Lepisosteus oculatus: one gene and its partners. The protein of the gene in region 1 interacts with the protein of each later gene in a pairwise test. Links are inferred from orthologs where the notes say so. Each region holds a gene or a part of one and is shown in the gene's direction. Other genes may lie near its edges.

Region 1 (7,914 bases):
TTTTGTCTCCAGGTGATGGTCGATACTCGCTGCTTGGTCAGCCCTTACAGTACAGCCTATGCCCCCCTCAGCTGATCCACAGCCAGTCCTCGTATCCCACACACCAGGTGAGACTTGCCGCCCTGTGCCACACAGATCCCTGGTCTGTTGGTGTGGCTGCTCTCTGCCATAGGATTTCTAGAGTGCCCGTGTGCACTGTGCTCTGAGCATCTGCCAAGTCTTTGACCTTAAAGAAGGCAAGAAAAAGAGAAGCTTGTGTTATTATTCTGACTGTACAGTATTGCGACACACACCAGAAAAGGCAGAGTAGACTGCAGAGCCCCCTTCAGGAGGGATGGTCCCTTAGCTCAATCCCGAAGAATGTTGTGGTTTTCCTCAACGCCTGTCTTTCCTGCTAAAGGGACAAACTGGAATGAAGCATGGCACGCGAGGGAAGCGACAGACCCTGAAATCAGCATCCACAGACCTGGGCACCAACGATTTAGGTGAGGCTCTGACCTTTCTCCCAGTGCCCTTGGGTTTTTAAAGGTGCCGTTCCTCGTTAACCTCACCTGTGGTTTCCCATTAGGTCCCTGCTTCCTTTCCCAGCATCCTTATTGTCTTCCTCGCTCGACTTTTACCAAAATTACCCAGTGTGTCATTCTAAGACAAACCAGACCTTGTAAAAAGGGCTGTTCCTCTGCATTATTGGTAAATTGTATTGAGGTAATAAGGGCGTTGAGCAGTCTTGCAAACTCCTTTGTAAAGCCTGTATGGGAAAGATTGGTCAGTGACACCCATGCATCATGGAAATGTTTCTGGCCTTTCCAGGAATCCAGGAATGCTTGACATGATTCAATAAGGACATCACAACAAATTTCTCATCTGGAATTATGGGAATTGGCAGTAAAAAAATAAAAAATGCCGCCTTCATGCTTGTATGACTGAGGGAGGAGGAGGGCAAAGTTTTTCCTGGGGGAGAAGGTTAGGATCACGGGCATGTCAACAGGAGGCTTTCTGCAGGCTCCCCCGTCCAGTCCGAATGGGCTGTTTGCCGCGTGCGGCTGAAGGATTAGTGGGCCGCGGTGGCAGAGAGGTGAGGTTTCAGCCTGCCTGTGTTCTGTGCCACCCCCTGCAGTGGTCAGCCGCGTGCTGGAGGTGACGGACCTCCCCGAGGGCATCACGCGCACGGAGGCCGAGAAGCTCTTCAACCAGCTGGCCATGTCGGGCGCCAAGATCCAGTGGCTGAAGGACACGCAGGGCCGGGGCGACGGCGGGGGCGGCAAGGGCGACAACGACCCGGCGCACCTCTACACCGTGGTGGCCGTGTTCCCCAGCACCATGGCCGCCCAGAGCGCTTCCTTCAAACTCAATAACTCCACCAGCCGCTTCAAGCTGCGCGCCACCAAAAAGAACTATGACCTGCGGATTCTGGAGCGGGCCAGCTCGCAGTAGGGCAGCGGGGCAGGGTCGCGGCGGGGAAAACGAATCGTCTCGACAAAAGGGAGGAGAAGTTCCAGATTGGCGTACTCCAACTTTCTATTTTTTTTTATTTACCTTTGTTTTTTGGGTCTTTTTTTTTGTCAGAAGAGCACACAAGACACGCGAGCATGCGTGCGGTTTGATGCGCGTATGTGTGTGGAGCATTTACTGACCGTGTGCGCGTGCCCACCCACCCACACGCACGTACGATGACCCGACGCGCGGCGCACACGAGGACACACTGGACAGTCGACCTCACTTTACCCACAATCCCCCACCCCACCCCCCAAACTTGTCCTCCATCTTTTATTTTCTGCTCCTCTGCTACCTCCCCCTTGTCCTGTTTTCTCTACTCAAACTCCCGGTCTCTTGCACCCTCACCTTCCCTTCTCACTCATACTCACGACTTCTTCCCTCTCCTGGCGCACTCTCGCTCTCTCTCACTGTAGCGCACACCTCTCTCTCTCTCTCGTTCTCTCTTGGCTGCCTCCGTTGGCTTCTGTTTGCCTTACTACTGCTGTGGCTTCATGTGCTGCGCTGTTGATCTTTTCTTTATTCTGTTTCTTCGTTCGTTTTCGTTTTTTTGTTTTCTGTTTTTTTTTGGTTGAATATATTTATATAAGTGATTTAAGGATTTAAAAATATATATATTCAGTGATTTCAGTGGAAGAGTTTATCCCTCCCGTCCTCACCACACACTCTCGCCCTGCTCATTCTCAGCCCCTCGCTTTCCCCTTCCCCTGCCTTGCCTCTTCTTCCTCCATCTTCCTGCTCCTCCTCCTTGATCTTTTCTCTTTCTTGTGTTTGCGTTTTTCGTTGACAGCTGTGCAGAACGTATCAGAAGAAGTATTTAAAAAGTGCACAATTGATTGCATATGTCTACTGTAAATTTTATTTAATCTGTTATTTTTGTTTTTAAAAATATAAAAGTGAAAAAAAAACCCTGCCTGCCTGTTTGGTCTCTCTTTTTTCCCCACTCCTCCTGTTTCTCTTTCGAACAGTGCTCTGGAGGAATTCAGTGGAAGCCTACATCCAGAAGAGCATTTGTTAAAGGCAGACTTGCAGAAGTGCCAGTTTCTCCCAAAGTTTCCATTTAAAATGATCTTTTTATTGTAATGGATCAGTTACTGCCCAGTGCTTGAACTGTATTGTTTAGTGTTCGCAACCTAAAACTCACTCGGTTTGTTTTTCAAGCTCATATTCCTAAAAAAGACACACTTGTAGAAACTGATGACCACAACCCCTAAACGTGAGTAAGCAAGAATAGAATGATGTTTTTTTTTTTCAAATAGTTTCCACATTGCTTATACTTGCTTGCATTTATCTCTGCCCCCCCCCCACAAATGGTCCTGTGTGCTTCACACACAGGGGGGAGCCACATCATCTCCCTCTGCAGTGCTGCACCCACCTGGCCGCCCTGCACCAGCGCGAGTGAGAAATTCCCCCCCAGACTGAATTATGAGATGGGCAGGGGGATTTAAGTGGGTAGGTTTTGCAACATGAGCAAACATTTAAGGAGCAGGCAAGTGGGAAAGAGGGTTCCCAAGAGGAGCTGATCTGGACTGAAGCCATAGCAATCCGTAGTGTCGTAGAGTTCTTCCAAGAAGAAGCAAAAACCAAGTCTGCCAGAATCGGGGAAATGCTTTCAGTGTGGTCCCAGCCAGTTTGTCTGCAACGGCTCCTTTAGAAAGGCTATAGACCTCGTCTGCTCCTCCCACACCCTCCCCTTCAATTCATACTGATCCAGTTATTGACCAGTCTCTGATTTAGAAACTTATGCTTTGTAGGGAATGTTAATATGTATGTTTATAAAGATCTGTAGAGAAGTATTTAAATAGTTCAGGTCAAAGGATAATCAGTTTGGTTGCATGATCACTGCCTGGGGTCTAACAAAGACCTGAAAGCTCCTGGGAAGTGGAGCCTTACGCTGTTAACAGGCGGTAATGGGGAGTGGAAACTAGTAGACATTGTATTGACAGGTCAGACCAGCCCTGAGATTGATATCCTGTGGTAAAGACACTGGAACGGACTGGGGAAGCCATTGTCCAGGGGTGCCAGTCACACCTGTCTCTCAAAGATTAGTATGACCATGATTCGTTGAATTTGTATAGCACTTTCCTCCCCAAATGCCTTCGAAGCCTTTAATATGCGGGAAGGCACCTACTTCCAGACACTGAAGTGCACTCCCTCCAGCAGCCATCCTGCACAAGTGATCAGGTGCGCAGGTGAGAAACCTCAATCAAGGTGCCATGCTTTAGCAACATCAATAAGACATTGTCCTGCTGAGGTAAGTGTAATTGGAGGGCATGTGTGTTTTTGAATTCTATAGCTTTGGTTAGATCTGGAACTTGGTTTGGGCCCCGTTTTTCTGCGGGTTTGACAGACATCCAACCCACTGAAGCTCAGCAGGTGTGAGCCTGGCCTGTACCTGGAGGGGAGACCTCCTGGGAAAGCTAAAAGGTTGCTGCTGGAAGAGGTGTTAGTGGGGCCAGTAGGGAACGCTCATCCTGCAGACTGTGTGGGTCTTAATGTCCCAGTCTAGTGATGGGGACACTATATTGTAAAAAAGGCACCATCCATTGGATAAGATGTAAAACCGAGATCCTGACTCTGTGGTTATTAAAAATCACAGGGCATTTCTCAAAAAGAGTAGGGGTGTTGTCCTGGCCAGATTTTCCCCGGCTTTCGCCAATTGTGACCTCCTAATAATCCCCATCTATGAATTGGCTTCATTACTCTGTTCTCCTCCCCACTGATAGCTGATGTGTGTTGAGAGTACTGGCGCACTATGGCTGCTGTCTCATCACCCGGGGGGGCTGCACATTACCTGTAAAGCGCTTTGAGTGGAGTGTCCAGAAAAGGTTAGATAAATGTATTATAATGAGATGTCGTCTGTATTCATCTGTCCCATCACACACTGGAGTGTTTTAGGTCAGGTGGCTGATCGGCTGTACATTTCCTTTATTGCTGAAAGATTGGTGGTTTTGGACCAGATTAATAAAGTAGCTTTGACCCAACTTGATTGAAATTTAGAGTAGGAGGTAAAAGTGTTGATTCCATAGAAACCTGAACCTGGCCATCAGTGATCAAGATTTTGGTTAGGAGGCTTGACTTAACCTGTGCTAAGTACGCTTTTTAGAACACGTTGTGTTTGTTCTTGCATTGGTCTCCCTGTCGGTGTTTCTTTGTTTCATGGTTAATAAGCAATGAATACAGTAAATGTGGTCTGTCTAGAGAGTCTGAAATAATCCTTGACAACCTGTTGGCAAATTGTTAGTTCTTTCACAGTAACGACATGATAAAGGTGGGGATTGTCTCCCTCTGACAGACCCCTAGCCTGTCCCATCAGAGGTGTCTGATTTCCTGGTGTCAGCTCCTCGTTGCTCAATCCGTGTCAGCTGTTCCTGACTCCTCTGCACACGCGCGCACCCCCCTCTCCACAACACTCTGGTCCTCTGGCTTCAAAAACACCCCTCCTGTTGGAAGGGCCATTTGGAGAGTCAACCACAGCAAAACCCAGGGACAAAATTGTGCCGGACTGCGCTGCTGGTGTTAATATCACTGGCAAGTTCGAGCCCCTTTGGAAACCGCGCAGGAATTTCCAATTGGCGATTCCTTTCTGAAGAGACTAGAGCCACAGAGGGGAAGAGAAATCCCAAGGAGGTGAGAGGATTGTGTTTTTTTCCCCCGGGTGGGGCTCGTGTATTTTGCTTTGGCTTCAGAGCTGGACACCCCCTACGGCTCCTCTTCTTGTAGGAATCGTTCCTGTTGAGTCTCTCCGATTGCACAGGCGAAACAGAAATGCTGACTGGGGTTAGGAGAGGTGCTTGATTAAAATGCTCCGTGTGTAGCTCTGGTCCAATCTTTAATGCTCTGAGATTAAGCTCCAGTCGGACACCCCAGTGAGTGTTCTAGAGCGTTACTGTTGTAATTCAATCTGGGCTCCTGGGCCCACGATGCTCCGGTTTTAGTCATGTGGAGATCAGGTTACCCCCTAACCAGGAATAGAGCAGAGCAGTCTGAGCGCGAGTCACACACAGAGAGAGAGAGCGGGGCAGAGCTCATTGGTGTACAATCGGGAGAAAGAAGTGTTTGGAAACTGTTTATTCCCGTTGTTCTCCTTGGGCTGGCAAGGCTGGGCCGACCTGGAGGAGTGCTGGTCAGTCCTCGGACTGGTCGACCTGAACGACACCCGCCTTCCCTTCGCGCCGGCGGCCAGTAACACAGGAGGAGCGCTCCGCATGAGGAATTGTTTTCAGCTTGCCCAAGGCTTCGTTATCCCAGTTCCCAGTTTCACCGTGTGCTACTATCGGGGCTATCTTTATTCCATGACAGGGCTTCCCAATCCTGACCCTGGGGATCTGCTGGCGTTTGTTGCAGCTGAGCTCTTTACTCAAATGAGCCCTTAACTGAACCAACAAGTCGCTGGGCCAGGACCCCGCCAAGCTATGCTTGTCTGCTGAAAGGCTGGAGTCCTCGTGTTACTTAAATGCAATGGCTAACAGACAACCTCCTCCATGTTTAGGAACTGCAAACGACGAGTTCAGACCACACCTGTTATCATCAGGTGTGTTAAGGGTTCAATTACTTAACTGAGCGCTCAGGTGGAATATAACCCAGCAGATGTTTGGGTTCCCAGGATCAGGACCAGGACACCTGCACTTCTGCTACTAGTGCCAACACCACTACTGAAGCTATGTACTTGATATTGCAGCTGCCACAGCGGGTAGTTACCCTTCTGCAGCTGCTGTTTCTCCTGCCACACCTTCACCTACAGCTAGTGATCTACTGGTCCCTGCACTGCTGTCGTGACTGCCGCCATCTCTGCTTCTACTGCCGCGGCTACTACTCTCGCTGTCTGTAATGGATTTGTTCCTCATGTTATGCTAAAAGATGCAAAAGCACCTGTAACAAGTGTTCAAATTATACTAGTGGTCAACGTATTACCTGCATCAGTGCTAATGGCAGTGCAATGGTGTAATATAGAGCGTTTCTGTGTGTCTCTCCCCTCTCCTGGCAGGGTGTCCTGCTACCTCAGGAGTGGCCCCGTGCTTGAGAGCGAGGGAGACTTCCCCCAGCAGTGATGGCGCAGTACGACCAGTGAGTCCCGATTCCTCCGTCTTCCCGCCCAGTTTGCTCGTTGGGCAATGTGACTGATCTGATGAGCACAGTGCCTAGAGCCTCTAGCAGAGGGTGATCTTGCTGCACTGTCAAAACCCCACCCTGCCTGAGGTTTAGCAACATTGCAAGGACACGTGAAAACTGGGAGAAGATGGTCCAATTCAGCCAATCATTAACATAACATCACTTTATTAGCCCTCTACAATTTCTTGCATTAGGAATTAATCTTTTCGCAGACCCCAGCTTGCTCTCCATGAGACACAGACAGGGAGAGAGAAGCTGGGGGTCAGAGCGCAGGGTCAGCCAGTGTACAGCGCCCCTGGAGCAGTTGGGGTGAAGGGCCTTGCTCAGAGGAGTAGGATTCCTCTGCTGGCTGTGGGATTTGAACCGGCAACCTTCCAGCCACAGGCGCAGATCCTTAGCCACAGCGCCACAGCTCCGCCCATTAGATTAACTAGGTAGTTAGGAATGAAAACCTACAGTGCAATCCTGGACTAGAATTGTACAGCCCTTGAGAATCTGAATGCAGGAAGAAGCTCCGTGAAGGATGTGAACTGAGACAGTTCTGTTATCCTTGAAAAAGGCCTTGGAAGCCCATGCTGTCACCACGGTCTTCTTTAGGAACAGCAGTTTCCCTGCTGTCTCGTCGATTTGCGGTGAATACTATTATCTCTTACACCAGATCGTCACTGGAATTACAGGCTGCATTTTTCCTCATGCAGGTCCCTGCATTCCTGCACAGCTCTGTGCAGTTTTGCACAGCTGTAGAATGCCAGGCAGGTATTTCAGCACAGATCTGTGCAGGTGCTGGCTGCAAGGAACCCGGGTGACATTCTGACCCAATAGAGTAAAACCAAGGTCAAAAGTGGCCCTTACATAGTAATATATAATTATACCCTTTATTATTATATTACCTTTGAATGCTTGCATAATCCTGACCTCTACAATCAGTTGAATCCCTCTCAGACAAAAAGTAAATGCAATTTCGATCTTCTCTGCTCAGTATAGTTTGGAAAAAGCTGGTTCTCCTGAAGCCGAGTATGATGTCTGAGAACCTGCAGCCTTGGCCAGCAAGCGCAGTCTTCCATGCTCTGTGTGAACACAACCACACACTTATCTACTGTACACCCATCCATTTTCTTACCACGTATTCCAGTTCAGGGTTACAGGGGAGCCGGAGCCTGTCCTGGTAAGCAGTGGGCTAAAGCAGGACACATCTTGGATGAAACGCCAGTACATTACAGGGCAGATACTGTAGACACAAACACAGACGTAGACACACACTCGCTCACACCAGGGCCAACACTCCCAGAAGCCAATTAACCTACCAGG
Region 2 (7,122 bases), on another chromosome or scaffold:
ATTGCCAGTGCCTTTGAATGCTTGAATCGGGTCTCTTTGTAAGAGTTCATTGCTCAGTACTTTTATTCCTCAAAGCACAGAACCATACAGTATACCTGTACCTGATTCCAGAGTCATATCAATTTTGTAATTAACCAAAACGGAGCACAAAATGTGAAATTAGGTCTTACTACTGCATTCTTTAATTTTAAGTACATTTTACAGTACATTGTACAGTTTTAATCACATTTTGAAACAATTTGTCTTTTTCATTGTCCCCCCAGATTTTCTAAAAGATAGAAATAGTGTCAATATAATCTTCTGAGTCAACATCTAAGTGTTTTCAATAGATTGCTCACTTTTGAATTGTCTCTAAATTTTCCTGTCTTTTCCCGCAAATCTACCTATTTTGGTATCATCTGTGACCATGATTTATTGATTAATTTTGCCAGAATTGAGAACAGTGATATAAATTAAGAATAACTGTGATCCCTATACAGATTCATGTGAATTAAGACCAAAGTACAACATTTGCAACTATGTTATTTTACCAATAACTAATATAAATTAGAATAATTTAAAATCTGTAGCATATTCCCAGATGTACAGGGACTGGCCACAGTTAGAACACCAGTATTAATAAGGGAAGGATATTTTTCTGAGACTGAAGCCTATACAAGCAGTCACACAGATACATTATTGCTTCATGTGAGTTAATACGTTCCTGCTGGAAATGGGGGCGTAATCAATTCAGTGGCTTTGAGTACAAATTTAGAAAAAAAAATCCTCTGGTCAGAAGTCAATGGCATCGACTGTGTCAGATCACATTACTGTGCTCAACCGCTGATAGTTTCCTGTTTTTCCTGCTTCAGAAAAGTAAGCCAACTGTTAAGTTCATTGAACTGTTCTGCATGCTATAAAATGGAAATAGTCAGGCTTATACATCAGCCTTCTTAAAAAGTGTACTAAATGCATAGGGGCTGATTCACACAAGGCTGTAGTGTGATAGGACATGTATAAGCTCAAGGGGAAACAGCATACACACAAACCACAGACTGAAGTGTTTCCAAGCCCTACATGCATGTGCATGTTCTAAAAACAAATTTCATTTAAATGTTATGGCTCTGCTAATTGCACTGCAAGGCATTCAAATGATGTTGAAGGACAAAGTAACCAGAGTCATGATATGCGCTTGCTATTCGCAAACACTCTGTAGATGGAGTGCCTAATTTACACATACATTTGTACAGATGATAAACAGGTAGAAGGGGCTGAGATCCTTCTTATAAAAAGGAAAAAGAAACGTCCACATCCTGAATGCTCAAAATACATGGATATTTGTTGAATAAGAAAAATCTTGCTATATTGCCAAGTCTGCATCAAACTTTAAGTTAGCACAAGCACTTTAAATTACAGCATAATGACACAAAAACATCTGGATTACATTTTGCAGGGCAGCGTAGTGTTCACATTTATTTAACAGTTCATTAGTTAAATTGTACTTTTCTGTGTTATTTTATCCTCTGTGCATTGGTAGTCACCATTATTTTACTGTAAGACTGTGAAATGCCAGTATTTTAATCATTGCAGATCTATTAATACATATTATGTGTTTGCATTAAACTAACCTAAAGTAACACTTTAAGCACCCTAAACAGTAAGTCATGATTATTCTAAAAATAAACCTTTAATGGTATTTATTGGGAGTTTACAGTTGTTGACAACACAGTCAGATGTTTTAGGCTAGCTGCTCTTTATGATCAATTAGACTAAATCCCAAATCATTGTGAGTCACTCTAAGTGACTGTTGTGGACTGAACAGCGCAGAGGTTGCTATGATAAAATGTTCCCCTGGGTCCAAATGCTAGCTTAATTTGTTATCTGTTTCCATTTATGTGTTTTTGCTGTACCCATGACTTGACCTATAAAAGGAGTTTTTTCCCCATCTTTCTGTCTAAATGCTGTTTTTCCCCATTACTTCAAAAATTCAAAATACAATGTATCATAATGTTGGACTGTAAAACAGCAGATGTTTCCTCAATAAATGTTAATTAAATTTAAAATGGTTATATTCTCATTAAATACGACTTAAGACAAATAATAAACTGATGAATAAACTCTAGCTTTTTGACAGAGTACTGGACAAAAGTTATTCACTATAATTCCACCAGGATGTAAATTGGGTGCACTTTGGAAGTGATAAGTTATAAATGTGCTGTACTGTATATGTACGTGGTTAAGTATAGTTTGCCTAAGCTGAATACTGTATATACAGTATGGTATGTAGTCTGGTATATTCAGCATATGACTATCATTCCATTACTATATATTTTAAATTATTGCTTAGTTAAGAACAACACGTTCTTTGTTTAATGTAATTTTAACGTAACATCACACATGCCATTTAGTTAAGAAACCAAGAAAGATAAATACTTTAAGTTTGGAGTTACCTATGTTTTTAGTTTTCATTTCTAATTGTAATAACAAACACCATGAATAGAATATGAGAGACATGCTTTCTAACTGTGCCATACACATTTTTGCTCACAGTCTTGTACGGATTTCATAAATGTAAAGAGCTGATGTTGATAGAATAGGACTTAAGTGTTTCTAATCGGGTCTAAAGCACAGTATTACTGTTGATTTGTTACCATTAGTTCTCACCTCCACTGAAATCATGGTCCCACAGTAGTGAGTTTACTGCCAATCCAGGTCTTCTGGTCTGCTGTTGGTCTTCAGTTTTCCTGTTTGATGCATTCGGGACCCTTTTAAATTTGAACATATTAGTTTTATTATTATTCTCTGTCAGCCTATTGCATCATTTGTTTGTTTGTTTGTTTGTTTGTTTGTTTTGGTGTGAACAGGTACTATATACTGTACGCCAGAACATCCCATGGGTGTAGTCCCACCATGGTTTGGTTCACACCACACCTACTGCAGGTGTCCTGTTTTCCCATGTACATAATGTAACCTGCACGTTTGCTGTATATTTAGAGACATTCGGTGTTGACTAGATTATCGGAATATAAAGTGGTTTATGATATTTACATTCTGCTTAATGAGCTTATCTGGTTAAGTCTGTTGGCTACAATGATTTCCTTTTATGATGCTATAATCTGGGTTTTGCTATAATCAGTCTCTGCTCCTGTGTGTGTGATCACAGATTTGTGGGTTTTGTAAGTCTAACTAGATATTGTACTGACTATGCATTCCTATATTTTCTATATTATAGTTTTACAAGTTATCAGTATCCCCTTTCCCTGACCTTTCTGTTTGACTCTGTTCATCTGCCTCTGCTGCTCTGTCGCTCAAGTGGAGTTAAAGCTCCAGTAGCTGTTTTTGTAGGTCAGGTCAAAAGTTGTGAAACCTCAGATTCCAACAGATCTTGGCAGGTGTTTATTTTCTGCCTTTAGGCATCAGTTTGAATAATATACTGGCTTTGCTGTAAAGAATTTTTATCTCGTTCACATTCCAGTTTACAATATTAAAAATATGTAAAGTGAAGGAACCTGTTCTCTTGATTGTTGCATTTTGCATGTTATCGTCTTTCTAGGTGACAGAGCCTTTGGTGTTGAAATGTTAGCTGATGCCACTGTGAAAGTTGTATCTGCAGGTATAAAGAGGGCCAAAGGTCAAACAGAACAGGTGAGATAATAGTCTCCGTAAAATGTACTGTACCTCAAGTTAATGTTTCAGATTTCCACATAACTATGGTAGTATTCATAAAGCTAATCAATGTTAGAGAAAGTTTATTCACGTTCAATACCTTCAGAATGTATTATAGTTTATTTACTCTCAAACACCTTTCTATTCTCTGTATTTATTGTGCTAAGTATTTTTTATTATGTATTTATATATTATATGGAACCAATAGCATACATAAGCATGACGTACCTGTATATGTTAGGAAAATTGCATTGTATTTAAAGTGATTTTAGTAACTGGTTGCTAATGTTCTGTGTTGTTTTAATGGGTGATAGTTTGATAGTATGATTTGGAGGACTAAGGGACCATGAGAACACATTCATTCCTAAAGTCAATGGTGTTTAATCAATAACGTAATGTTCAATTCCCTTTTTTTGGCTTGGTGTTAAACGCATTGCCACATTGAAGCTTGTGGTGAGTGAGATACACATCTGTGAGAAGCAAGATTATTTACCCAGAACAAAGCAACAAGAATCACACAGAACTACAGTAAGCACATAAGTGAACCAAAATACAAGCAGAGTGTGAAATGACAGGTTTTACAGAGGAAGACTTGGACAACTTCCTACAAAACCAGGTAAATAATCTGAAGTCTTTTTTGGAAAAAAATATTTTAAAATGATTTAATGTTCTCTTTCCCTCTCTTGTGTCTCTTTTGGTTAAAACATTACTACTTTATTTATACAGTTAATGCAGTATAATATATAATATAATATAATAAATTGGCTCAGGGTGTGGTAAGATTGTAATCTTAATAAATTACATAAAATTATATTATCAGAAAGACTATTTTATCAGGTTTCTTTCTAAAATGATTAGGATTGTAGCTGCTCAATATACAACAATGTGTAAATGTGCTGCATGATGTGTACAGTATTTATGTATTTCATTGATTCTGCAAGAGTGACCAGTATTGTACTAGAGGATTGCAATGTGGTGATCAGTATTTTATTATCCAATAGTTGATTTGGTATCAATCAGGAAATATTTGCATATATGCATTACAATGATATTTAATGAAGAATTAAATATAAGGTGTGTCATATTGCAAGGCAAGTTCCAGATTATTTACCCAATCCCAATTACCAAATTTTATATTAAGCAAATACTACCCAATTACCCAGTCTATTTTAACCTAATCCTTTAATTAGTCTCAACTTTCCTTTAATTTTATTTGAGCAATAAAAAACATTATTTTGAACACCAATTAAGGATATGACTTTATGAAATATAAAATTATCTAAAACAGGTAACAGTATTTTTTGTATGGCTAGATGTTGCATTTATCACTCTAATACTAAACCTTTATTTTATACACAGTAGGGTCTTTCATGCCAATACATCAGTACAGATGTAAACAATCAACACCTCATAAAAAAAACATGTTGAAAAAAGAACAAAATATAAAAATAAGTATGAGCTAGCCTTCGAAGATAAATAATGTACTGTATATTCCTTGTATAAATGTAATTTATCGTTTAAGAAAAGAAGAAGGTGATTGATGGAACAGCACTTCAGAAACTTAAAAATAACAAATGTTTGTCTTTTTCTTAACCCAGAGTTAGAGTGGTCATGTGGAAACTGTGGTAATGGAAATTGTATTACAACTGCATGTAAACTGAAATAAAATTAATTAAATTCAGTTTTTGACTTAAACTTTGAATATCATAAATACCTTATTCAACATGTTGATCAAAAGTCATTTATCGTAATTCTAAACTTCATTTAAAGGTACATGTAATGCACACCCACCCTAGCTTTTTTGATAACCTACAGTATAACATTTGTTCTGCTTATTTTCCTTTCAAGCTGAAAAATAACGGTTCAGTCATTAAGCCCCTGCTCTGTCTCGTGAATGACATTCTTATTGTATCATAACATTGGTTTTGTTACATTACAACAAAACAAATCATATTCTCAACTCTGCTTTTTTTTTGCTGGTAGTCAGTACGTCCAGTTAAAAACTTTCTGATAAAATGATTTACGTTTTTTAGTTTGCATTGCTGTTGTATGTCACACCGTATTGTATGAGTAAACTTTATCAATGTAATTGTGGGCTGAGGAGGTGGCTGTGTGATAGGTTTTGGGCCGAGAGGCAAGAATGGCAAAGAATAATGTTCCTGGAGAGTTTGCTATTGGCCGACAAACTGAGAACATGCCAGCAGCTCTGGCACTTTCCCAGCAGAGGGAATGGTAGGTTTCCTGTGGCCTTGTGGCTCTGAATGCCCCTTTCTGCAGGTGGATCTCCGACACCGTCAGGTGTCCAAGACAGTGGACGAGGTTCAGCAGATCATCAAGGACCTGACCTCAGAGGTGAGCACCAAGGATGGCCGATTTCAGAGCATCTCCAACTCTGGTGTCCACAATGATAATATAAAGGTACATTTTATATATCCTTTTTGGTACATCTGTATAACTTGTTTACCATGTTACCTGAGAAGCAGGGTAGTGCCTCAAAGGTTGGACCCAAATACTAGCCACAGATTAATAAAGGACATTCGTAATGACTGTAATGTATTACTGGAAGAAAATAAGGTAGAAGAAATTCAAATTAATATTATTGTATGTGCCTACATTAGTATTTTACAATTAAGAAGTCTGGCTTATACCAATTCTGCCGTAAATGTATTTTGTTGCATTGCTGTAATAGGAGTAAAGAGGTTGTCACAATTACAGGCACCATCAACAGCCTTAACTAGATCTAAATCCAGCACATTCGTATTGACAGCCCTGTAATTAGAGTGTGCAGTTGCAAAGCTCATGCCAGGCACTCTCTGGATCTTTTATTTGCTTTCAGTCTCCAATTTCAGAGTTTTGCCATTTTCGGATGTGGTTTCTTCCTCTCCCTAGTTTTAATTCCAGAACAGTCCCTTCAACACCCCTCCATAGAGGTTTTCTTAAACTGCCAGCATGCCTGTCTTCTTTGTGTTTTTCTTTCTTGGGATTCCTGCTGAAAAGAATTGTTTTTTGTGAAAATCAAATGGAGACCATATTATCTTTGAAACCCAAATTATCATGTACGTTAAAATGGCCAGTGTTTATTAGAAGTTCTATAATAACTGCATACTGTAGAATGTCAATTTTGGGGCACAAGTATCTCCAAAGGGGTTATGTTTAAGGTAGTAAGATGTACAGAATTTCAACACGTAACGGTAGCTGTAGCTTTACTAAAAATGCTGGTTTAAAAACCCTGTTTACTCAATACTGTCCTCTTCTCTGACTCTCTGACTTCACCATGCTTGCCAGGATCAACCTGCTCTAATGGCCAAATGGGCAGCTCTTCTGAGGGGAAAATGTGCATTCAACCCAGCCATCCAGGTAGTGTCTCGTGTCTAAATCAAACCATTTCACTGGAATTTCTGACTGTAGAGAAATACCTGTACATTTCCCGTGAATCTGTCCTGACATTAATGATATTAATATAATTAATCATTGGTA
Region 3 (7,506 bases), on another chromosome or scaffold:
GGCTTATCCTTGAAAAGTGTTTACTGTTCAATGTACTATGAAGGTTAAAACCTGTGCCTTTGGTGAGGTCACTTCCTCTAAATCCTAGACTTATTTCAGGACTTGCAGCTGAGAGTCTGTCCTGATTCAACAGTCAAAACTGACTTAGCATGCTGCAGTACTCACCTGTTCTTTAACCATCTGACAGACATCGTTATAAGGGCAAGATTGTCACAAATGCTGTTCATATAACATCAAATATTTAATGTTATGTTATTTACTCGTTTGCAGTTTTACCTGGCTGCTTTTGGTGTTGTTTGTCTGATGTCTGCTCCAAGCACAGGAGAGTTTAACGGCCACCCAGAGCACAACTGGCAAATTCCAACTGTGATTATTGTCATTTTTCTGAGAACAAATAGTAATACCATAACGTCAAAAGTCTCATGATTACATTCCTGTAATTCTACAAAAGGACTCTGCAGAATCACGATGATATTTTACCCACCTTTACCATTGATTACACAATTATTATTTTTTTGCCGTTGGACTGTTACCATCAGTACATCAGTGCTGCACCTCAATAAGAAAGCCAAATGGAGTCGTCACATCAGTTAATTTCGTAACAGACCTCTGTTGAACGGTAAATCTGCTGGTATCCAGACGAAGAATTGTGTAATACTTTGCAAATTCAAAAAAATGGGCAGCGACCTCATTTGAAATTTGGACAGAACTTGGAGAGGTGCTCTTTTATTTGTATAAAAGTTTCTGGTTAAATGCTGTAGGACGTAAAAACCTAATTGTGGTGGTTATTGTAATAGAAAATTGAATGGACGCCATGGCAAGTGAAACTTTTGTTTCAAAGATTTTTATAATTCTGAAAGCTACTGTTTTTTTTTAAATTATAACAGTTGTAGAAGGATCAGCCTGCCTGTTTTTTTTTTTTTTAATTCCATTAATGGACGGGAATTAACTGGAGGGCATTGCAGACTGTGTGGTTTTTTTTTTGCTTTTCATTTTAGGAACCGTTTAGGAAACAGTTAAAAAACCAAAGTGACACGGTTACGTTCCCTGAAAAGAGAATGGATAACTCTCCCCTGGATAACTCACAAACAGCCCCACTACACGGCCAATTAAAAAACAACGATTTTGATTTAAACCTCGCAATATTTGCAGAAGACGAACGCCTATGGCCCACAAAAAAATAATTAATCTACTGGGCTCATGGTTTACTAGTTGTGGCTGGGCTGTTTTCTGTTTTAAATAAATCTACAGTATGAAGCTTGCTACAGATTTTAAGCTTCTTTTCAATCTTAACTTTAATGTTTATTCTGTAGAAACTGTGTAGAACATGAGATTATTTGGTTTGTTTGCATACAGTACATGGTTATACTTTAAGTATTGGTGTAATAATAATCGCTTACACTTATTCCGCTTTTCTGGACACTCCATTACCTCCACTTTACAGGTAGGACTCCCTCCACCACCACCAATGTGCAGCCCCACCTGGATGATGCGCCAGAATGCTCACCTAATGTAGCCAATTCATAGATGGGGATTATTAGGAGGCCATGATTGGTAAAGGCCAATGGGAAATTAGGCCAGGACGCCGGGGTTACACCCCTACTCTTTTCGAGAAACACCCTGGGATTTTTAATGACCACAGAGAGTCAGGACCTCAGTTTTTTACGTCTCATCTGAAGGACGGTGCCTGTTTACAGCATTAGGACCCACATGGACTGCAGGGTGAGCACCCCCTGCTGGCCCCACTAACACCTCTTCCAGCAGCAACCTTAGTTTTTCCCAGGAGGTTCCCATCCAGATACTGACCAGGCTCACACCTGCTTAGCTTTAGTGGGTTACCAGTTGTGAGTTGCAGGGTGATATAATAATAATAATAATAATTGCTTACACTTATATAGTGCTTTTCTGGACACTCCACTCAAAGCGCTTTCCAGGTAATGGACACTCCCCTTCACCACCACCAATGTTCAGCATCCACCTGGATGATGCGACGGCAGCCATAGTGCGCCAGAAAGCTCACCACACATCAGCTATCCGTGGGGAAGAGAGCAGAGTAATGTAGCCAATTCATAGATGGGGATTATTAGGAGGCCATGATTGGTAAGGACCAATGGGAAATTTGGCCAGGACACCAGGGTTACACCCCTACTCTTTTCGAGAAACGCCCTGGTATTTTTAATGACCACAGAGAGTCAGACCTCTGTTTTACGTCTCATCCGAAGGACGGCGCCTGTTTACAGTATAGTGTCCCCGTCACTATACTGGGGCATTAGGACCCACATAGACCACAGGGTGAGCTCCCCCTGCTGGCCCCACTAACACCTCTCCCAGCAGCAACCTTAGTTTTTCCCAGGAGGTCTCCCATCCAGGTACTGACCAGGCTCACGCCTGCTTAGCTTCAGTGGGTATGGCTGCTGGTGTACTAAGAAGGGCTCTGTTAATTTGTACCAAACCGTTTTCAGTCAACCATCGTGTTAATTTTTAATTAGCTATATCCATTTAGGCAGGTATCCAGATTTTTTAAAATCAATTTAATTCATAAGGAAGCGTCTTATGCCAAACATCAGACAGGTTACGATACAGTCATCTTGAACTTGAACTTGAACTTAATTGCCATATGTTACCGGTACTGGTACAATGGAATTCTTACTTGCAGAAAGTCTCTCGATTGTAAAACAAGTGTAAAAAACAAAACAAAGTGCAAACAGTGCATCAAGACAATGTACAAACAAACAAACAGACAATGTGCAAGTAAACATGTAGACAGTTTGAATGTAAACAATACAGACGTGTAAACAATGACTGGAGATGTGCAACAGATAAGAAATCATAAAGAGGTAGATGGTGATGGTGTACTGTAGGTGTGGTCCGAGGGGGATGGCTAAATGTGTTCGCCAGTCTCACTGCTTGTGGATTGAAGCTATTGAAGAATCTAGTGGTAAGTGTCCGTATGCTCTTATATCTCTTGCCTGAGGGCAGTGGGGTGAAGAGCTCATGCCCGGGGTGGTGACTGTCCTCTGTGATGGCCAGAATTCTACCACGGCAGCGGTCCTCATAGAGCTGTTTAATCTCGGTGAGACCGCAGCCGATGATCTTCTGGGCCATATTGACCATTCTCTGCAGTGCCTTTCTTTCTCGCGAAGAGGTGTTGCCATACCACACGGTGATCCCGTTGGTGAGGATGCTCTCGATGGTGCAGCGGTAGAAGTTCACCAACACATGTATTGGCATCCCCCATCGCTTGAGGCATGCTCACAGTCCAGGTTAGATCTTTAGAGATGTGAATTCCCAAAAACCTAAAGCTGGTGACTGTTTCCACTTCCGTTCCATCAATACTGAGTAGGCTGTGAGTGTATGGCTTGTGTCTCCGAAACTCCACTATTAGCTCTTTCGTTTTCTTTATGTTCAAGTCCAGGTTATTGCTATGACACCACCTAAGCAGCTGTACAACTTCATTCCTGTAAGTGGACTCATCATCATCACTGATCAGTCCTATTATAGTGGTGTCATGTGCAAACTTAATGATGCGGTTGTTGCTGTGTCTTGCTGTGCAGTCGTGAGTGAATAGGGAGTACAACCTTGGACTCAGACAGCAGCCTTGTGGGGTTCCAGTGCTCAGGGTGAGTGGTGTTGATGTTTTATTGCCTATCCGCACCAGCTGTGGTCTCTCGATAAGAAAGTCCAGAAGCCAGTTGCAGACAGAGTTGCACAGACCTAATCCCATGAGCTTTGTCACCAGTTGACTGGGTATGATAATATTGAATGCTGAACTGTAGTCCACAAACAGCATTCTCACGTACGAGTTCTTAGTGTCCAGGTGTTCCAAGGCTGTCTGCAGAGCCAGGGAGACAGCATCATCCACTGATCTGTTGTTCTGGTAGGCGAACTGCAAGGGGTCCAGGGACTCTGTGATGGAGGAGTTGATGTGTGACAACACCAGCTTCTCCAGGCATTTCATCACCACAGATGTTAATGCTACTGGGCGGTAATCATTCAGGCATGTCACTTTTTTCTTTTTGGGGGTTGGAACGATAGTGTTTTTTTTAAAGCAGGTGGGGACCATGGACTGTGACAGGGAGGAGTTAAAGATCTGCATTTGTTTTCCTAAATGAATGCACTCTCTTTTGTAAGTAGATAAAACATTCATGTAGAAAAATAACATTACTATGTATATTCTATTTATTTTTTATTTTTTTTGGGGGGGGTGAACTTCGTTAAGTGATTAAAAAAAACGACAATTCAACGTGCACCCCTCTTCAAGCCGAGGGTCTGCTACCGTGCTGTTTCAGGACAGCGGCAGCAATGCCCGATTGTAACCAGCAGTAGGAGCAACAAGGCAAGCTGTTTGAATTTCGGTGTCTGGGGGGGTAGGGGTTAGCCGGCGCAATTCCGCCGGCCAGCCGCGCAATGCGATTCGCCGAGGCCATAGGTGTGTCGGGAGGTGTGTGGGCATGGTGGCTTAGCACATGTCAGTCATGTCGTCATTTCCTGCGGTAGACGTGGGGGAGGCACTGCTGTCTGGCTGCGCCTACTGTGGGATTTTGACAGTGGCCGTGCTTTCGTAAAGAGGCAGGCAAATACGTGCCTGAAAAGCCCGGTTTGTGTTTTTTTTTTCTTTCGCTTTGCTGTTTGGCGGATCGGAGCCCTGACACCTTTCGTCCCTCCGCGGCGGCTGGCGAGGCAAATGGCGGCTTCTGCAAGGGCACCTGATGACAAGGTGAAACGATTTTGTTTTTTTTTTTTCTTTTTGTAGGCAAAAAAAGTTCAAGGGACTTCTTGCCAGCACAACGTCCCCCCTCACTCGGCGTGCAGTAACTCAGCTGCCCGTCGTTGAAATTGCACGTTGTTGCAAAGTCTTGTTTTTGGAAGTTTTGTGCTTCTTATGAGAGACTCGGCTTTTCTTTTCACAACTCCCGTGTACCATTGATTAGTCTCCTAAATTGACCCCATGCATAGTTGTGATATTATATGCGCAAAGTTGAAAATCACACAACACCCGTATACCATGTCTAAACCCTCGCAGATGTCATTCTGTTTCTGGATGGAGCATGCGTGCGCATATGACGAATAGCAACGAGCTGCAGGCAACTATACAGGTTGTTTTCCGTCCTTTACATGCTAGTTATGTATCTATGCATGCGGATCTAATAACTATATGCTGTAGGAGAACTAATCACTTCCTTCGTGCTTTTTTTAGCTGCGCTTTCAGTTGCGGGTGATGCGATGAACATTACTGACAAGTTGATAGAGAAGAATGCAGTTCAAGTCCTCCGTGTTTACTTCAAGCGCAGGGTTTATTCTGTAGCTATTTCGTGACAATTATACCGTGTAGGCAGAGGATTGATCATGACCTGCAACATATTCTTTGCTCAGAAACGTGTATTTAGCAGTGCAGTCGTGTACCAATTGTCTCTACACAACGCGAGTTGAACAGGAGTTTAATCAGTTTAGTAGCCTAGCATTGAACTTCGACTCTACGTAGAGCAAAGGTAGGGTTGGAGACGGGAAACAGGAGTCATAAAAAGTAATTTTAAGAATATTCTAATGTAATGATAAAATAATTACATGTTTTTAACCCCTATGTTCATATATATTTGACGAGTCTTTTAAACGTAAACTTTTCATTTCACTTTTTGAAAGTTCTGCTATCAACACGATACCTGTGCACTTACTCGGTAAATAGCGAAATTGGTTAATTGGTGCAATTCAACGTTTTAATAAACGCCGTTTAAAATTGAGAGGCCAGTCCTCTCGAAGAGCGATGGAGGGTAGGTTGTTAACCGGTCACTGCTGGTGTCTTAATTCACCGCCGAATTAAATAAACGAAATACCCGGTCCTCAACATTTCATCGATGTAGCGGATTAGGTACAGCTGTCATGGGATTTTACAAGCTTTCGCAATGCCTCCTTAAGCCTAAAACGCAATTTTGGCTGCCTTGCAGGCCACTGTTGCGCACAATGGAGTTGTCCTGTGCAAAGAGAAATCCTTCCTCTTAACTCCATAGTCTCCGAGTAAAATGTCACTCGGGCAAATCAGGACTATGTTCTCAAAATCAGAGCCGGTATCCAGCCGCTGTGTCATAATCAATTACGGGAGCGTGTCTCGAACTGAAAAGTGGAAAGGGTGCTTTGCAACGCATAATCTCGTTTACTTGTAAAATTGGTGGGGTTACAGTAGCTGGGACATGTAACAGCGCTCGCTTTTCTGTCCTATGATAATAAAAAAAACACGCAGCCCAAATACAGTAACTTGGTAACCACCACCAGCAGCTAAATGTCTGGCTACAGTATTTTACTGGGGTTAGCAAACGTTTCGGACGATGTCGGCTGTGAAATTACCTCAATAGGTCGAGGCTCTGATTTATTTAAATTTATTGTCGTGTCTCTGTTCTTTATTTTTCATCTGCGCGGAGAAACGTTTTTATCGAGACTGCGGTAATTCATCGGGCAGGTGAAGGGTATTTCATTAAACAAGTTGGTTTCCATGTTATATATCGCTGGTTGTGTGCGTGGTTTCATTTTTACGATTATCGCCTTCTCTTTGGAGAGCTTGTTTTTCCACTTCATTTTTGGTCCGTTGAATTTCTAAGTGCTACCCTGTGAATGCCCTTGTGGAGGAAGGGATATTTGAGGAATATTTTCATGATGGATGAGGCAGTGCGCCAACTGTTGTTTTATGACAAAGTCCAATTCATACTGATGTAAAAGTAACAGTTTGTGAACAATCTTACTAGTGTCTTTTTGCAGGCTTTCTGTAAATGGTGGGTACAGTGATTTTGCTCCCTTTGTGAACAGTTTCATTTGAGGCCCGTTTCACCCTTGAAATATGCACAAAGTTTTGTTTTGGTGAAATCTTAACATGACGTGAGCTCACAAGAAATACATTTTGATACCCATGCTTCACAGTCAATAAGTGAAACAATATATCATTCTATACCTAAATATTTAGGGAGGTAGCCAAGCTGACAAAAAACTTAAGTAATACAGTAATATTTACCTTCACACATATATGGCGATTATGCTGAATTTTATTCCCACTTGCTGTGTTTAATACAGCCAGTAAATTTTGAGAAATTCTAAATCTATAAACTATGAGAAAATTGTATCACATTGAATACCTATTTAAATAGGGTTGTCTTGCTAAAAATACAGATCAAAGTCAAAATACTGGATCAAGCAGTTGAAGAAAATTGTATGCCAATAAAGACTTATTTAAATTAACTGAGTCGTGGCTGTCTATTATTATTATCAGATGCACATATCCCATAGAATGTGTGATATATCAAATTATATATGAAGTGCACATTAAAAGAAAAAATATCAAACACAGTATGAAAAGCTAATATCAATGCATCATTGAAAACAAAGCAGTGAGGTTTAGTGGACATGCAATGCTTGTGCAGTGCAAAACAGGGAAAACTAATGTCCTCTGCATGGAAAACAGCAAGGAGGAGACATTGATTACAGTAAAGAAGGAGCCTCTTTGAGCAGGAGGGCAGAGCAGTG

The links.
Region 2: the proteins of stac3 (region 1) and mab21l3 interact in binary tests that used the Homo sapiens proteins (3 or more experiments, as listed by UniProt). The two-hybrid records come from large-scale screens. The link is inferred for Lepisosteus oculatus from reciprocal best matches to the Homo sapiens genes STAC3 and MAB21L3.
Region 3: the proteins of stac3 (region 1) and pparab interact in a two-hybrid assay, tested with the Homo sapiens proteins (2 studies listed by BioGRID). The two-hybrid records come from large-scale screens. The link is inferred for Lepisosteus oculatus from reciprocal best matches to the Homo sapiens genes STAC3 and PPARA.

What each region holds. Positions count from the first base shown.
Region 1 is NC_090696.1:18,375,577-18,383,490, forward strand, and holds the start of stac3 (SH3 and cysteine-rich domain-containing protein 3), read left to right. Parts: upstream 1-4,902; 5' UTR 4,903-5,124; intron 5,125-5,541; exon of another isoform or gene 5,542-5,620; intron 5,621-6,481; 5' UTR 6,482-6,544; coding exon 6,545-6,561; intron 6,562-7,914. Other genes in the region: R3H domain-containing protein 2, read left to right, coding at 13-107, 401-485, 1,118-1,434. UniProt on the Homo sapiens protein: Required for normal excitation-contraction coupling in skeletal muscle and for normal muscle contraction in response to membrane depolarization. Required for normal Ca(2+) release from the sarcplasmic reticulum, which ultimately leads to muscle contraction.
Region 2 is NC_090710.1:33,057,222-33,064,343, reverse strand, and holds the start of mab21l3 (protein mab-21-like 3), read left to right. Parts: upstream 1-4,108; 5' UTR 4,109-4,213; coding exon 4,214-4,261; intron 4,262-5,922; coding exon 5,923-6,063; intron 6,064-6,930; coding exon 6,931-7,002; intron 7,003-7,122.
Region 3 is NC_090702.1:4,311,644-4,319,149, reverse strand, and holds the start of pparab (peroxisome proliferator-activated receptor alpha b), read left to right. Parts: upstream 1-4,494; 5' UTR 4,495-4,717; intron 4,718-7,506. UniProt on the Homo sapiens protein: Ligand-activated transcription factor. Key regulator of lipid metabolism. Activated by the endogenous ligand 1-palmitoyl-2-oleoyl-sn-glycerol-3-phosphocholine (16:0/18:1-GPC). Activated by oleylethanolamide, a naturally occurring lipid that regulates satiety.